Schizosaccharomyces pombe: one gene and its partners. Each later gene encodes a partner of the first gene's protein in a complex. Each region holds a gene or a part of one and is shown in the gene's direction. Other genes may lie near its edges.

Region 1 (4,743 bases):
GTTTAACGCATTTCATGAACGACCACTACCAACTAGGTACAATAGTTCATACTCAAGTAAAAGAAGCTAGGTGTGTTTTGGAGAACAGCTATATAAAATAAAGTTTTGAAAAAGCTTTGAAGCAAGCCTTATAAGTGGAAAACCGAGATTCTTTGGTTCGATTGCACTTATATTACAGACGTAAACAAAAGGAAGCAAAAAGCAATGCTAACCTTGGGCAAGTAATAAAAGTCAAACTAGAAAGAATCCTCATGAATAGCTGTATATAATCGACAAGTCGTCAGCCATGGCAAAACCAAAAAAGGAAAATGACTTGGATCTTCTTATACAACTTGCTGACGGTAATAAATGAACATGTGTAAATAAATAATTTTCTTACATTATTTAGCATTGGAAGCTATACCGGGTGATTTATCCAAAAATTTTACGGAAGTCCGTTTTTTAGAGGCTGAACTAAAGGGTAAGTGATAGTGGCATTATAGATTGGGATTTTTTGCTTGAACAACTGTGAAGGTTTTGATAATAAACAAAAAAATGAAAGATTACTAGTGAAACCGTTCTGGTGTTGATTTTCTTTGTTAATGTTTAATCAATCTGCTTAGGACTTGTTTGAACCTTGAATATGTTATTCAAAAGGACTTGAACGCTACTGAGGCTTATAATAAGTTTATGTTGTTCTTATCAAAACTTGCCTATCTAGAGCTTGCCTTTTTCTGATTTAAAATGATTAACATGTTCAGATGTGTATTCACAAGCTCTTTCTTCAATTGATGACCTTCTTAACAGAGATACTAGTGTTGAACGTCGTAATTTAGTCGCTCGAAACTTATCATTACTGTTAAAATCCGATGATGTACAAACTCGAAAAAAATCCCACATTGCAATGTATGCAGAGGCAATTACTCATAGTAATGTTTTACGTTTAGAACACTGTTATCAAAAGATGGAAATGAAATTACCAAATTTTTTTATTCCTTTCACTCCAGAGGTTATAAAAGAGCAAAAAACTTCGAGACCTATTAGAGCATCCCGGCGGAGAGCCAATTTAAGGAATCGCCGTGCTAAAGAATTGCTAGCAGCTGAAAACGCATCGGAGGAAGGAGATAAAAAGCAAATAATCACGGATTCTGGTAAACTACCAGAGACAGAGGAATTAACCGAGACCACAAATGAAGACCTCGACATCAAACAATTCTCTCCCTATTCTTCAGAGAGCAGTGCAAACGTTTCTTCTTACAATAAATCTTGAAACTTACGTAAAGCCTTATATTATTAAAATTCTTGCTTTTTTGTTTTTCTAATTGAAATACACTAATAATAGTTTATCCGGGATTAGCTACTAAATTCTAGTCATTCAACAGAAGTCACTTTGAAAACATATATAAACTCATGTCTTTCCATACTGATTCGAATGGAGGTAACTTCTTTCATACTTAATGCTACGTTTAAAGAGTTTGCATGTTTTGGAAACAATTACTTGATAATACTACCAGGAATTATGTTAGAAAGGAACGTATTTAGACATTTGAATTACTCTACAAATTCTATTTGTAGCCACTATCAGTTTTTTGGCGGACATTACGAATCTTTTGAACTTTTAGTAGTGATAGTTTATTACTTTTCACATGTTGGTTCTTTCTCTTTGGCTGAGATATATCGTATTACCTGGGATAAACGCATTGTACTTTATGGAACAACAACCACTCTTGTCTACTGCTCTGAAGGGTCGGATTGATTGCGTATATGATTAATTCATATTGTATTTTTTTAAAAATAAAACAGGGCTATAGTTTTAGATAACTGTCTCTTATAGGTTACCTATGTTCATAGCTCAACTTAATGAGGATATATTTACCCAAAATCTAAGTGTATATGATTTGGGACATCAAGAAACCATTCAAAACTTTTATTTTTCTAATGATTTTCGTAGTTTCCAATGTTCATCCTGTGTCTAACAAATCTTGATAATTTCGTAAAAGACTAGCGGTGTATTCCACAACTACCAAAATATCTGATGGGAGACAGGGTAGAAGCATTAGCCATATTCAGAAAAAAACAAGGTAAAATAACAATTAAATCAATGATTCTAACATGCAGGCGTATTATCTATCGATAGTAGATTAAAATGGACGGGGGAAGGGAAAACAACACCATCAGTAGATATTGCTTTTGATGCAATTTCGAGTAATAATAATTGTTGCATTTTCGAGATTACTGACAGATTGATAGATCTTCAAACTACTCCAGCGTCTAATCCAAAAGTTATGATTCGTGTTTTTATAGTAGTAAAGGAAGGTGAAGATCCCACTTCTTTAGTATTTCATTTCACCGGTACTCCTAATGCCAGAGAAAATTGTGATATGATTACTAATGAGTTGAGAAATGCGATACAAAGACAAAGGGAAGGCTCTCAATCTAAACCACAAGGAGCCAATGTCGATCGTGTAAATTCTACGAATCTAGAAAAGGACATCGACTTACAAGAGTCTTTGCTTACTAACAATCCCGATCTCTTACAAACATTTAAGGAAGCAGTTATGAAGGGACATTTAAGTAATGAGCAATTTTGGAGCACAAGGCTTCATTTGCTCCGCGCTCATGCTGTAGAAAGGTCTCAGCAGCGTGGTCCTTATAATGTCTTGTCTACTATTAAACCTAAAACAGTGGACAACCAAATGAAAGTTTCCCTTACCGGCCAGCAAATTCACGATATGTTTGAACAACATCCATTGCTCCGAAAGGTATATGACAAGCATGTGCCTCCTCTAGCAGAAGGAGAGTTTTGGAGTAGATTTTTCCTTTCCAAGCTTTGTAAAAAGCTTCGTGGCGACAGAATTACACCAATGGATCCCTCTGATGATATAATGGATAAGTATTTAAAAGATAATGAAGGTAATTTCTCCAACCTAGATGAATTCCATTTCTAACATTTTCAAGAGGTAACCAAAGTATCGGATGAACCTATTGCATCGCACCTCTTTGATTTAGAAGGAAATGATCAAAATGCAAATGTAATAGCAGAACTTAGACCTGATATCACTATGCGAATTGACAAAGAAGCTCTACCGTTTATGAAAAACATCAATCAGCTTTCGGAAAGACTTTTGGAAAAAAGTTTGGGGTATGTATATTCGGTTTTATTAATTGTTATTGCTTCGGTATGCCTAACAACTTGTAGAAACTCTAAACGATTTAACAACGAAAATGAAGAAACATACTTAAAAGAATCTGGTTTTCACGATTTAGAAGAAGAAGCCAGTGACTCTAAAGTTGTCTTAAAAATCAAAGGTCAAGATCAGTTATTGGAAAATAATTTTGTCCCCTCAAAAAATCAAGTTGGTTTAGAGCCTTTGCCTTCATTGGAAGCTCTTCAACATTTATACCAGGAAGATTCGATAAGCTTAAATCACATTGAACATGATTCTGACTCTTTGGCTGAAGCCGCTATGCAGCTTACTCAGAGTATGCGCGAAAAGCATGAGTTTGAGACCCACGGCACTGCATCAAATTTACCTATTGACATAAAAAATGAAATTGTTTTGTGCCATACCGTTACGATAGAATTTTTGCATCAATTTTGGAATGCCTTGTTGAATACAACTTTCCCGGACAAGAAGGCGATGGCCCCCCTTCAGAATGCTCTGTTAAATTCGAAAAAAAGGGTGGAGGCAATTGCGAGCCAGGCTCAGGAACAAAACGTTGATCCAAAACTGGTTTATGAGGTAAGTTTTTTTTGTAGAGATTTTGATTATTAACTAGGATTAGTTGGTATCCTGTACGCTCACTTCTATTGATACGTCAATCTCGGAGTATCAAAGACGAATGTCTTATCCTCCTGCTTAGGTTTGATAATGTCTTTGGAAACTCAATTGTGCTTGTAAAAGGTAATTGTTTCTGTTTTTCCATATAGAGGTTAATGATATATTGATATATTCTTTATTGGACTTAATGTTCTTTCTTCATAAAGGCTGGAAAAAATGAACATTGAAATGCTGGATATGGCTCTTTTTCTGTTTATACAACTCTTGAATTAAAAAACTTTTGTTTTGGTTTATAGATTCAAAAGACAATCAAAACTGTTTTTAGATTACTGTGCTCATAGGCCAAAATCTAATGTTTTTATGTCTTTATAGATTTTATTATTTATTAAAATTCGTTTTATGACACGAATATAGTATGTTATAAACTGATGTTCAATTAATTAATGTCCCATAATTTCTCTCTTTTGTTTTAAATGCTTGTTTTTACAATTTTTCAATTTATCGCTTCTCTGTATATTATATATAACTTTTTTTTTTACTTTCTTTCAAGGTATCAGTTCTGTATGATCCCAATAAAACTGTGTCTAGCTCAAGTATTAAATTTGGATACACAATTAATGATGAATATTTTAACATCGATTACCTAATTTATCTTATTTCAAGTTAATAAATAAATAGCCAAACGACTTTGAAATGTAGCACGCTAGCGCCTAGTTCCCTTCCCTTTTCTTTCATTTATCCATAGTGTATATGTACTAAGCTTAAACATCTACGCACACCTTAGCTTTCCTACATGCTTTGATTAATAAGAGTAATTGTTTTAAAAATTTCATTCAAGAAGAAAGAACAAACAATAAAGGGCCATGCTACGACTCATAAAGCAACCTTTGTTTCGATGTGCGAGTTCGGGACATTTGATGAAAGAGTCGCTTGTTTTTATCCATCAGACTCGTACTTTTCAAGTTGGAAAATTTACCTCAAA
Region 2 (3,879 bases), on another chromosome or scaffold:
ACATCAAGTGTTAAATCGTATCACAGTGGTATTCTACGATAGACTATTTTTTTTCGTCTTTTAATAACGGTCTTTTCTAACATTTGTCCTAGATTATGATTTATTTTTCCCCAAGCAATGGTGCAGGCCAGCCTGCATATATGAACTTGTCATTTGACCCCAATTTCGTGATCTCGCTACAAGTAAGTTCTCTTGTGGGAGCTAGGTCAAAGCTTCAAGACATTCCTAAAATTACACAATTGATCGAATCAAGGATTCGACAATGGTTTACTAATCGTTGTGTTTCTCCTCAGTTTCAACAGTAAGTGAGAGTATGAATTGATTCATACTAACTAATTCCCACAGGATCGCAATTCCCAACCTATGGCCAACCTCTGCAAAAGAAGGACATGCGAGGTCCCATGCACCTCAAGAGGAGTCATCTAATGAAGATTAAACATTCTTTTGACGTAATTTTCGGAAATTTTTTTTATCTATGAATTTTAACGATAATTTATCTCTACCAGATTCCACGAAATATATTGATTATGAAGTCGAAATAAAAATTTTAAGCATTAGCTTGCGAAATATGGCGGGTAACTTCGATTCGGAATCCAGCCGTTCTTCTCATATTCCATCCACCACCTATTGCATTCGAATTCTACGTTTTCCGAACACATTTTTTTAACAATTCGTGATAAATTCCTCGCATCATCTATTCCGCGATGCTCGCTTCCCTCAAACTGAAGACCCCAATGCTCTAGCATTCCATTAATATTTGTGCGTGGAACGCGATAAACGTCTTTATAGAAAGACCTAATATCTACGAATGGTCCTTTGATCCAGTCAGGAATTGGCATTTTATCATATTTGAACTGATAATACGATTTGTTAGCGAAATGTGAGACAAACCGAACAAAATTATATTAACACTTACTTGTTTGGCTAAAAAGGACGCCATATCCCAAGGACCATCACAAGCCCAGGCCCAATTTTTGGGCTGTGTTCTGGGTACGGACTTTAAGGGTTCTATAATCTCAATTTCATCAACTGAGGGAACTAAAATATTGGAATGTTTCCGCAAGAATATGAATAGTTCTTCCAAGACATCTGAGAAGATAGGCGCTTTATCAACAGTGCATTGTTGAATTCCTGTCAGTGATTTACAATAGTCAGACAAAGTAGGATTCATGGATGGGCGAACGTAAGAATGAAATTCGTCGATTATGGATTTTTCTATTAAATCGAATAGAAGACATGGTAATTCTATGATCTCGTTTTCGAAGCTAAATCCGCAACCTTCTTCACATGTAGCTTCGACGTCCACAATTAGCAAGTATCGTCTACAAGTATTCAGTTACTGTTAGATAGAAAATGTTTAAACAATTGATGATTTAACCCTACAAACAAGTTTTGTTTTCATTACTAGTAGAAAACTTTTGATAACGTTCTTGTTTTCGTTTTTCTTCAAGACGTTTTTCACGAAATTTCCATCGCCGTTTCAGTTTTTCTCTTTATACTGTGTAAATAATTAATTTATATAAACTCTGAGAAAACGGACTAATTGCTTCTCAATTTCAGTAACATACTTGTTTCCATTCGTACTCAACCCAAGTTCTTGTAGTGCTATACGAATTTCTTCTACCGTAGACGGTGTTTTTTGGTTCATCTCGTCACATGGAAAAGGCCAAACTAAAATCTGCACTGGCGACTCCATAAATTTTTTATATTTTTGGAATTACTTTACCTTTTATTTCATTAGATAAACCATTTCATTATAATGGAATATAAATGTTTTTGAAATAACACTGTTTTGTTGGCAATCTTTTTTTGAACCCTACACTTTTTCTGGGTTGTTGTCTACCTGTATTAAAGTTGGGAAAGCATTGAGAAAAAACACATTATAAAAAGAGGGATGGATGAATTTCAAACTTTGAAACAAAATGCCTCGTGGGATATATCTGAAGACGCAAATGATACACCCAGTTTGCTTGTAGTTATATTAGACGCAAATCCTGCCTCATGGTACTCCCTTTCCAAAAAAGTGCCTGTTTCCAAGGTACTGGCAGATATTACGGTTTTTCTAAACGCACACTTAGCTTTTCATCATGATAATAGAGTTGCTGTGTTAGCTTCACACTCGGACAAGGTTGAATACCTATACCCTTCGATTGCACCTGAGCAAAAAGTCGCAGAAGTAGATCCTACCAAGGAGGCAAATACGTATCGAAAGTTTCGTGAGGTAGACGACTTAGTTTTATCTGGGATGAAGCGACTCATGAGTTCGACTGATAAAGTTTCAAGAAAAACGATGATTTCCGGAGCACTATCTAGAGCCCTTGCATATATCAATCAAGTTCAAAATAAAAATACTCTTCGTTCTCGAATTCTAATTTTCTCATTAACTGGTGATGTTGCTCTTCAGTATATTCCTACTATGAATTGTATATTTTGTGCTCAAAAGAAAAATATTCCAATTAACGTTTGCAACATTGAGGGAGGCACCCTGTTTTTAGAACAAGCAGCAGATGCCACAGGAGGGATTTACTTAAAAGTTGACAACCCCAAAGGCTTACTACAATATCTCATGATGTCGCTTTTTCCGGATCAAAATCTTCGAAAACACTTAAATACCCCAAACCAAGCGAATGTTGATTTTCGAGCTACATGTTTTTGCCACAAAAAGGTTTTGGATATTGGCTTTGTTTGCTCAGTTTGTCTATCAAGTAAGTAGTAACAAAGCTTTACGATAGGCTTTGAACATTTGACCTTTTGCTAACCTCTTTAGTATTTTGTGAACCACGGGTGCATTGTTCTACTTGTCATACCAAATTCACGGTAGAACCTATGTCAAAAAAATTGCACACTTGATAATTCGTTATATTATTATTAAACTATATATTTCTTTGTCTCACACCGGGTGTACAGCTTTATCATATTTGAAACCCTGTTTTTCATTACCTAAATCTCCTTATCCTGGTGATTTGTACAGTCTAGCTCTTTTTTTTTGGCGATTTTTACTTTCTGGCATTTTGATACACTTGAAATGTTAACATTTTTCGGAAGGATCAAACTATTTCCTTAAGGGGCATCCACAAGTAGAAACTTAACGTATAAGCAACTAATTCATTCCAACGTACCCTATTATTATTTATTTCCTTAGAGCTTCTTCTATTATTTCTTCAAGTTGCATTGGCTTCTTTCTTTTCCAAACAGTGCAGTAAGACGAAATTATATACTATTCTTTAATTAATTTACTAACGAATCATTAATGTTGAAGATGCTGACAGAAATTATTTCACAGGAACTTTCCTTTCTACTGTTTATAATCTATTGCATCTCTAATGTTGGTGCTTGATCATTTTAACAATGGCTTTTTTTAAGCTTTTTTAATCAGAAAAGTTATATTACATTGAGATCTATATGAATGCAATTTATAATGAATTGGTTTGATTATTGTAGTAAGGTTACGAATCTTGGTTTTTACATGTAACTCAACCTCTGAATTTCTGTACTGAGCAATAAAAGCGCGGATTGATAATTCATACTAATAGAGCCGGTTTACTTTTATTTGCCCGAATATTCTCAAACTCACAAGTGACGACAAGCTTGAAAAAAAAAAAGTATTTTCTTAAATTCGTTTATTCTGCAATCAGATATTCATAGTTTTTAAAAAAGGAAAAATAATAAAAAGGTTGTAATATATTTGTTCTAAATCTTCAGATTTCAGACGTAAATTAGTCTGATTAACCTTAGGAGCATTACAACCATTGCCTAATCTGTTGATAGATTCAATTACAAACTTCTGACATCCTGAATGTCTATTTTCCACTAATTTTAGAATTTTTGATTGACTGTGCTTTTTAACAGCTCTTTCCCGACTATATAGCGTTTTATTTC
Region 3 (4,300 bases), on another chromosome or scaffold:
TTCAAGCGTTTGGTTTTGATCTATTTATCTATTTTATATTTTAATTTCGCATTTTATTTTGCAATGTTCAAGTTGAAACTCAAACGTATATAATCACTATTGGTAAAAGGCTCTTCAAAATGCCAGACGAAAAGTTACCTCAATACAATGAAGTTTGGAATGATTTGGAGAAGGGTTGTTTACATTCTTGTCCTTCATATTCAGTCAATAATCATGTAAACAATCCAATTGTCAAACAAAACTCAACATTAACACAACCATCGTTACGAAAAAAAAATACAATGGCTGCACCTGCTAGATTAAGAAAGCGTTCGGAAAATGTGCGACTTACACAAGCTAGATATGCGATATTTCATATCTTCCTTCCTTTCATTCTTACTTTATTGCTTTATCATAATTTTTATAATTATTTCGATCAGGCATTGGCGGATCTTAATTCTGTGGTTAAATATGTTATTGAAACTATAGTGTTAATATTTACATACGTGATGACAGTGATTATTGTTTATTGTAAGTTTTTGAGATGATTTGAATTCATGACTAACGATTTTCTAGTTTCATTTTCGTTAATTAAATTAGCGTTTGAAGAAGCTTATGTTTATGCACCGTCTGTAGCTAAAGCGAATGAAGGTCTAGCTAAAGCGATTGCAGGCCTAGCTAAATATGTAGCTAAAGCAATTCAAGGTTTGGCTCATATTATTTTATCCTTACTGTTGTTTATTCTCGGGCTCGAAGTAATAGAACAAGATGAAGAGACTGGCGACGTTGAAATGTCGTCTATGCGAGGCCAAGCAATTACCACAGAGCCAGCAAGTGACAATACAATGGCTGAGGAAACCGATTGCAACACTTCTAAAGATGTAGAATCGGGCAGCAACTAAAAGTCATGGCTAGAGAAAAAAATCAAGGGGCTGCCAACAGTTGCGAGGGTTTTTTTTATTTCATCACTAATTTTCTTACTTTCTTGCAAAAGTCACTTTTCTCCTTTATTTCTATTCCTTGTATTATTATCTTATATGCATCATCACTTAATCATTTTCGATGACAGTCATCACTATTTTTGTCTCTGTTATAGAGCAAACACGATGTGTATTTGTGGTGCTAGGAAAATTCATTTAACTAATGAATCTGTTGTCAATTATAGATTAATCATCCTCTTTATTGTTTTACCAAATTGATATACAATCCTTAATTGTGACTTTGTAAGATTTGCGACTTAAAAAATTGTTCAATTAAGACATTACTCAAAAGATGCAAAGTAGTGATTTAACCTTTTTTTTTGTTGGATATATACGAAATAAGGATTCCATTCATCATTCTCAAGTTTTGGAGTTTTAAAAACCAGTATATACAGCAAATATAAGTTGAAATTTGTTTCTAAGACAAATAAAAACGAAAAAATCGACCTTGGAGTAGAACGAGAACTTCTTAAACAATGCGATTTCGCAATTCCTAGTCAGTAGCCAATTTCTGTTCGAGAAAATCAATTAAATGAACTCTTTCGTCCTGCAAACCATCCAACATTCAGCCTAAGCGAAAAGTAATTATTCTTCTTATGTCCATATCACTTGTAGCTTTACATAAAATATTGGCAATTACGCAGTTTGCAAATTTCTAAGTCTCTACTATATTGCAATATGCAGTTTGTACAAATAACCGAGCCATAAATAATTTTATAAAATACGATATATAACTCATCCTTAAAGAATGAGGAGTACAGATTTATTTTATATTCTTCTTTTACTTTCATAATTTCCTAAGTTTTTTCAAATAACAGAAATAGTTGTATACAAATTTCATATCACAAATCAAAGACTGATAAACACGAATTAACGCAGCATAACGAAATTCATTATTATATTTAACAAATAATGGTTGCGCTCCTTGTCCGTATTGTCTTCGTGTAAATGGTCTCTTGTTCTAGTACTTACTTAGTCTTACCATTTTACTGGTATGCCCAGGAGTCATTGCTTTTTAAAAAAATAAAACTAAAAATAATAAAAGAAAGAACTTTCGCTCATTGCATGTAAAGCAACTCGACGCGACTATTCAAATTACCAAAAGTTCACTGGGTAAAACGTGACTTGAAGAAATACATTCGCTTTGAGTTCTTTAGTCTGTAGAAACCAAGGAATAGAATTTGTGCAATATTCATTTATCTAATTATCAAATAGCGTTCTGGCATAATACCTATGCTCGGTTAAAATAACACTCAATGAATGAGAACCAAAAAAGTTTTGACTCTGACAAGTCGGAAAGCGAGGATGAACAAAAAAATGGAAGAGTTAAAGTAAGAAGCAGGAAAACTGACGATAATGAGGGTTATACTTGGGAAGGTGAATATCAGCGTTCTTGGGATATCGTACAGGAGGACGCAGAGGGTAGTTTAGTAGGCGTTATCGCTGGGCTTATTCAAAGCGGGAAACGTAAAAGGTATGGCGTATCAAAATTGGTTTTCTTATGTTCTTCATTTGTTTGTTAGTTGCCTATGTTGGGCATTTGGAAACATATTAGTCTTTTATAGCATCGATGAACGGTATACTAACTTGTCAATCTGATTTAGACTTCTTAGAGATACAACTCCGTTACAACGAGGTATTATTAGACACATGGTCTTGGTGTTAGATTTGAGCAACTCTATGGAGGAGCGTGATTTTCATCATAAGCGGTTCGACCTTCAGATAAAGTATGCTTCTGAATTTGTTCTTGAGTTTTTTGAACAAAATCCTATTTCCCAATTATCGATTATAGGCGTAATGGATGGAATCGCTCATCGGATAACTGATTTGCATGGGAATCCTCAATCGCATATTCAGAAGCTTAAATCTCTTCGAGATTGTAGTGGAAACTTCTCTCTTCAAAATGCTCTCGAAATGGCTAGAGCTTCTTTATCACACATTGCTTCCCATGGCACTAGAGAAGTCCTTATCATTTTTGGTTCCATCTTATCATCAGACCCTGGCGACATTTTCAAGACGATTGATGCTCTGGTTCATGATTCTATTCGTGTCCGTATCGTTGGTTTGGCTGCTGAAGTCGCCATTTGTAAAGAAATTTGTAATAAAACTAACTCATCTACGAAAAATGCCTACGGCGTAGTCATCAGTGAACAACATTTTCGCGAACTTCTACTCGAAAGCACAATACCTCCTGCTACTGATTCGGCTAAAACCACTGATGCTTCTTTGGTAATGATGGGATTTCCTTCTAAGGTCGTTGAGCAATTGCCAAGTCTTTGTGCTTGCCATTCAATTCCGTCTCGTGGTGGGTTTCATTGTCCTCGTTGTAAAGCAAAAGTTTGTACTTTACCGATCGAATGCCCTAGTTGTTCTCTCGTTCTAATCCTTTCAACACATCTTGCTCGATCTTATCATCATTTGTTTCCATTGAAAAACTGGAGCGAAATTCCTTGGTCCGCAAATCCAAAGTCCACTCATTGCTTTGCGTGTCAGTTACCTTTTCCGAAGCCGCCGGTTTCACCGTTTGACGAATCTACTTCATCGATGCGGTATGCATGTCCCTCGTGTAAAAATCATTTTTGTTTGGATTGCGATGTTTTTGCGCATGAACAACTTCATGAGTGTTATGGATGCCAATGCTCCGGAAATTAAAGTTTCTTTTGGTATATTAATGAACGCATTTATTTATAATAATTATTTTAAAATACTATTATGCTACTTATTCACAAATATGTAAAGAGATATATATTTCAATTTACTTATTTAAAGAGATCGTTGCTTAACTACCTTATCCGGAAGATAGTGAAAATTTGATCTATTGATGCTTCAGTAAGTGTTAGAGCTGTATCATATATAAAATAAAAACTAATTAAAATGTGGAAATGAATATATCCCTATATTTACAGATCAGAGGTCAGTATTGCAGTTGTAGTTGATTACAGAGGAAACCTGTTTTTGAGAATTCCATTTCTCGACTAAATAAGCAACCTTCTGACCGTACTTGCTTCCCCGAAGAGAAACCATGTGCTTTTTTATATGCGTAATGACAAGGTTTTTCTCAGCTGGTTGACCAAGTTGAATTATTTGCTGAATTAAATAGTTGCCATACTGATCAGATGCAATATCGATTAAAGGCTGCCTTGTTCGGTCAACTCTCGCGTTTGTAATTTGTTTTAGATATAAGGAAATGAAATTTTTTGGGCCAGACTTAATTGCTTTTTCAATGACCTTAGAGGCAAATTGGTCAATACTAAATTCCACTGCACGATTCAATAATGCATCAATGACTCTTTTCAAATCCTCTCCTTGTCCGTTTTCTACCATGTGTTGCACCACCCAGT
Region 4 (4,313 bases), on another chromosome or scaffold:
GCTTATCCTTGAGAAGTTGAGTAATTAACAAAATTGTCTAGAAGTTGGAAAAATATTAAGCAAACTAAGTTAAACTTCCTCATGTGTTATCAATCCATTTTTATGCTGACAGATCGTCTTCTACAAAAAAACTGGCAACAATAAACTGGGAGGTTATTGAATTTTTAAACATCGAGCCACTAATTATTTATCTTTTGAAAGTCTTATTTTTTATAATCTGCTAATTATATTCTTTTGTTTATGGTGTTTACGCTATCATAAACTAAGATACTGTCAATTTTAGACCCCACTATCTTCCTTAGTGAAGTTGTTTAATTTTGTTAAAATGCATTACGAGTAATGTATTAAGAAGTTCTAAAAATCATCAGCCTTACTAGCAGACGCTCAATCAATAGAATTAGCATTATACAGCTAGCTTACCTTTACAAACAAAATGAGCAATTTAGAGGGTAAGTAAGTAATTTTTTTGATAATTGATTAACCTGAAAGCATCTCTGTTTCAATTAAAGGTATTTTCTTAATTGAAGTTTGTTTTTAACAATGCGTTAGTTTGCTGCAAAGTCGCTGAATAAACAATCACTTAAAGCTGCGAAAGAGGAGCGTGCTGAACGGGAAAAAGTGAAAAAGGTTTGTTTGTTGTAATGATTGCTATTTCCAAGCATGTCACTATCAATGAATTTTTTTACAGCTCATCTATCAATTGCTATTGTAATTCTTGGTGGTTTTGCAGAGTCTTGGTTTTGTCGATTATTCCATCTTCATATGATTTGCTAGATAAAAATTTTTTTTTACTTTTTGGCGTTATTCATTACTAACTGTTATTACCTAGGCTATCACAAAAGGCAACTCAGAAATTGCCCGCATATATGCATCGAATGCAATTCGGAAGCAGCAAGAATCCCTTAATTTGCTCAAACTTTCTTCAAGAATAGATGCGGTTTCAAGTCGTTTACAGACTGCTGTAACTATGCGTGCTGTATGTTAGCAATTTAACGTGGCATACTTATTGACTATTTAGGTGTCGGGAAATATGGCAGGTGTCGTTCGGGGAATGGACAGAGCTATGAAAACAATGAATTTGGAGATGGTGAGTTCCTAATTCTCGTAGAATGAGTTTTTTTTCAAATGTTTCTGACCCACAGATTTCACAAGTCATGGATAAATTTGAAGCGCAATTCGATGATGTTAATGTTCAAACGGGTTATATGAATAAGGTAAGTTTCCTTGATTAATCATATTTCAAGACTAGAACTAACACTATATAAGGCTATGGGATCAGTGACTGCTGTCGATACACCCCAAGAAGATGTAGATTTATTAATGCAAACGGTAGCTGATGAAGCTGGTTTGGAATTTAACCAGAATATGAACAATAATCTTTCGGTTCCTGCTGCCAGTGTTCCTACTCCCGCCGCTCCTGTAGAAGATGACAACTTACAAGAACGTTTACGTGCTTTAAGGTCTTGATGTATAATTCCAGTCCAAATAACAAAATTTTTTTGCTGCATAAATGAAAGAGTTTAATTACGCACAATTTATTCAGCTGATACGGAAGAAGTTAATTAGATGATTAAGGATTTATATGTTTTTCACTGATATTTGAAAAACAAATTATTTTTCTCTCGAGGGTCATTTATCCCGCGGTTTATTTCAACCAAGCATGCATCTCTAATGGTCTAAATAAGTAATAGTACAGTAAATATTTAACGTAACTGTAAATATTCAGAACATTTAAAACAAATCTTTTTTTTTTTAAAACTGACTTTATTTAAAACTTAAGTATGAATGATTGTTTATATGTTTTTATCTAATCACGACAATTCGCAACTTGGGCATAAAAGTTTGAATTGTAATAAATATGTACACAGGTTAATGTAATTATCAGCAAAAAAAAATTGTTATTGTCATTGTCGGAAGCTTTGGCTTGTTATTCTAGCCTATTTAATACCAGTAATTCGACTCGCTCTTGATCACCATCCACCTTCGGTCTCGCGATGATTGCTTATCTGGCATTTATGGAAGATTGATAATCGTAAATAAGTTTATTAGTTGAGTACACTGGATTTTGTTCTATTCAGCTGAATAAAGAGAGATTACAACCGCCAATTTAAACCTTTTGAAGTAGGTTCGCAAATTGTCACCATGCAAGCAGAATTCAAGTCTAGTATCAACGACTTCCTGGAACAGTTACCAAATCATGCAAGGCTTTACCAAAAGCCAGCTGCTTGTCTTGCTGTGTTTCGTTTATTGCCAATTCTAGCTAGACAGTATGTCATGTCTATGCTTTTCAATCCTATGCCAGTAGCACTCTCAGATTTCGATTTATGGATCAAACTTTCGAGTAAAGTTTATCAATCTGAATCCTTCAACAAACTGGTTAGGATGCATATATTTCAATTTGATGGACAATATATCACTCTAAATAGTGAATTTCGCAAACAATTTATAACTGCTCTGACTGGAGGGTAAGTTTTATTGAATTTTGAGTATAAACTAATTAAGCTTTTTAGAGGAAATCACAATTCGTTTGGCGTGCCATGTACCGATGAAGACAAGCACTTGGTGACGGTTGATTTTCTTGACGCATATGCGAAAGAAACTTGGGAAACAATCTTGCACTTCATGGTAGGAACTCCGGAAGCTAAATTTCCTGGAGAAGGTGTCTTAAGTCTATTAAAGCGGGGCGGTTTAATGTCTGGTCCAAAAAACCAGCTACGTATTACCCGTGCCGGTTTTCAGTTTCTGTTACAGGATATAAATGCTCAAATTTGGACGTTACTTTTGGATTATTTAAAACTATCTGAAGACACGCATATGGATCCTGTTCAGGTTTTGCACTTTTTATTTATGCTTGGAAGTTTGGATTTGGGGAGGGCATACTCAGTGGACTTCTTAACAGATACACAACAAATCATGCTTGAAGACCTAAGAGAATATGGATTAGTTTATCAAAGAAAAATTACTTCCAAGCGTTTCTATCCAACCAGACTGGCAACAGGTCTGACAACTGATTATCGCTCATTGCATGGAAAGCAAAGTGAAAATGATGATGATAAAGGTTTTATTATTGTAGAAACAAATTACCGATTATATGCTTACACAAGCTCCCCATTACAGATTGCCATCATCGGATTGTTTGCTAACTTAAGGGCGCGTTTTTCAAATCTTGTTGTCGGTGTGATAACTCGGGATAGTATTCGTCGTGCTTTGATGAATGGAATTGCAGCGGAGCAAATTATTACATACTTGACAACTCATGCTCACCCTCAGATGAGATCGAATGTTCCTCTTTTACCTCCTACATTAGTAGATCAAATTTATTTATGGGAATTGGAAAAAAATAGACTTCGGGCTACTCCTGGAATTTTGTTTCGCGATTTTCTTACTGATTCTGGCTTCGACCAAGCAGTAGAGTACGCAAAAGAACTCGGGGTTTTGGTTTGGGACAGTTCCTTGAAAAGAATGTTTTTCATAACTACGACAGGCGCCCAGCCCATGATCGCATACTTGAAAAGACGAGCTGTCAAATGAATATTTTTTGGATGGTTCAAAAGAGAAGTGGTAATTAGAAAATATTAAATTAATCTCAAATCACTTGTAAGTAATTTACTGGTGTCAATAAACATATATATAACATAAGCTCAACATTAGCCATGTTAACTATACGCGTGTTGGATATTTATACGAAATTCAAGTTTTAATGATGCAACTCTTTAACGTTCAAATTATGAATTTCTTCTTCTCGTCATTAGAAAAAAAAAATATCCGTTATTTGAATAATCCAAACAATATTCATATTCTTGTATTTAATGTTCATTTAATTATATTACCATTTGTAATAATGATTTGGTGATATTACTATAGGCAGGCAAATGGCTTGTAAATCCTTACTAACTACAAGTATCGCTGCTGCGAGTAGCCAAGAACTGCCACAACATAACCAATTCACCTGAGGTACTTACTTTTACAGTGATTGATACCTGTTAAACGAAGTTTTAAGACACAATGGCAATTAATAGCTCTGGTACTAAGGTGCTTTCTTTCGTTCGTTCTGTTTGGCAGGATTTTGTAAATACCAATGGGTTTGATGCTCATGTAGTCAGTGATATACAAATTATAAGTGCAGTTCCAGGATTTGTAGAATGCTCTCTGAAACTGCAGAAGCATCACCTAAATCGTATGGGTAATTTGCATGGCGGTTGTATTGCAGCACTCACTGATTTGGGAGGAAGTTTAGCATTGGCCAGTCGAGGGCTTTTTATTTCTGGCGTGTCAATAGATATGAATCAAACTTTTTTACAAAGTGGTGGTAC

Evidence for each region.
Region 2: tfb1 (region 1) and tfb4 share a complex: the UniProt entries of both Schizosaccharomyces pombe proteins name them as parts of the 7-subunit TFIIH core complex.
Region 3: tfb1 (region 1) and ssl1 share a complex: the UniProt entries of both Schizosaccharomyces pombe proteins name them as parts of the 7-subunit TFIIH core complex.
Region 4: tfb1 (region 1) and tfb2 share a complex: the UniProt entries of both Schizosaccharomyces pombe proteins name them as parts of the 7-subunit TFIIH core complex.

What each region holds. Positions count from the first base shown.
Region 1 is NC_003424.3:3,519,642-3,524,384, reverse strand, and holds tfb1 (transcription factor TFIIH complex subunit Tfb1), read left to right. Parts: upstream 1-1,995; 5' UTR 1,996-2,014; coding exon 2,015-2,060; exon of another isoform or gene 2,061-2,097; coding exon 2,098-2,184; exon of another isoform or gene 2,185-2,229; coding exon 2,230-2,892; exon of another isoform or gene 2,893-2,937; coding exon 2,938-3,121; exon of another isoform or gene 3,122-3,178; coding exon 3,179-3,722; intron 3,723-3,765; coding exon 3,766-3,843; 3' UTR 3,844-4,212; downstream 4,213-4,743. Other genes in the region: protein Png3, read left to right, coding at 287-341, 389-460, 741-1,249; SPOM_SPAC16E8.18 (uncharacterized protein), read left to right, coding at 1,412-1,735; rsm7 (mitochondrial 37S ribosomal protein uS7m), read left to right, coding at 4,625-4,743. UniProt on the Schizosaccharomyces pombe protein: Component of the general transcription and DNA repair factor IIH (TFIIH) core complex, which is involved in general and transcription-coupled nucleotide excision repair (NER) of damaged DNA and, when complexed to TFIIK, in RNA transcription by RNA polymerase II.
Region 2 is NC_003423.3:1,318,509-1,322,387, reverse strand, and holds tfb4 (transcription factor TFIIH complex subunit Tfb4), read left to right. Parts: upstream 1-1,811; 5' UTR 1,812-1,894; coding exon 1,895-2,705; intron 2,706-2,767; coding exon 2,768-2,850; 3' UTR 2,851-3,318; downstream 3,319-3,879. Other genes in the region: ERMES complex subunit Mmm1, read left to right, coding at 93-301, 346-436; double-strand siRNA ribonuclease Eri1, read right to left, coding at 555-854, 917-1,322, 1,384-1,491, 1,569-1,648. UniProt on the Schizosaccharomyces pombe protein: Component of the general transcription and DNA repair factor IIH (TFIIH) core complex, which is involved in general and transcription-coupled nucleotide excision repair (NER) of damaged DNA and, when complexed to TFIIK, in RNA transcription by RNA polymerase II.
Region 3 is NC_003421.2:382,258-386,557, forward strand, and holds ssl1 (transcription factor TFIIH complex subunit Ssl1), read left to right. Parts: upstream 1-1,933; 5' UTR 1,934-2,215; coding exon 2,216-2,433; exon of another isoform or gene 2,434-2,563; coding exon 2,564-3,611; 3' UTR 3,612-3,790; downstream 3,791-4,300. Other genes in the region: SPOM_SPCC1682.06 (uncharacterized protein), read left to right, coding at 120-510, 556-881; meiotic pumilio family RNA-binding protein Mpf2, read right to left, coding at 3,867-4,300. UniProt on the Schizosaccharomyces pombe protein: Component of the general transcription and DNA repair factor IIH (TFIIH) core complex, which is involved in general and transcription-coupled nucleotide excision repair (NER) of damaged DNA and, when complexed to TFIIK, in RNA transcription by RNA polymerase II.
Region 4 is NC_003423.3:3,751,928-3,756,240, forward strand, and holds tfb2 (transcription factor TFIIH complex subunit Tfb2), read left to right. Parts: upstream 1-1,972; 5' UTR 1,973-2,142; coding exon 2,143-2,465; intron 2,466-2,510; coding exon 2,511-3,531; 3' UTR 3,532-3,790; downstream 3,791-4,313. Other genes in the region: ESCRT III complex subunit Did2, read left to right, coding at 434-449, 490-509, 550-627, 830-976, 1,019-1,087, 1,143-1,214, 1,267-1,467; the13 (acyl-CoA thioesterase), read left to right, coding at 4,006-4,313. UniProt on the Schizosaccharomyces pombe protein: Component of the general transcription and DNA repair factor IIH (TFIIH) core complex, which is involved in general and transcription-coupled nucleotide excision repair (NER) of damaged DNA and, when complexed to TFIIK, in RNA transcription by RNA polymerase II.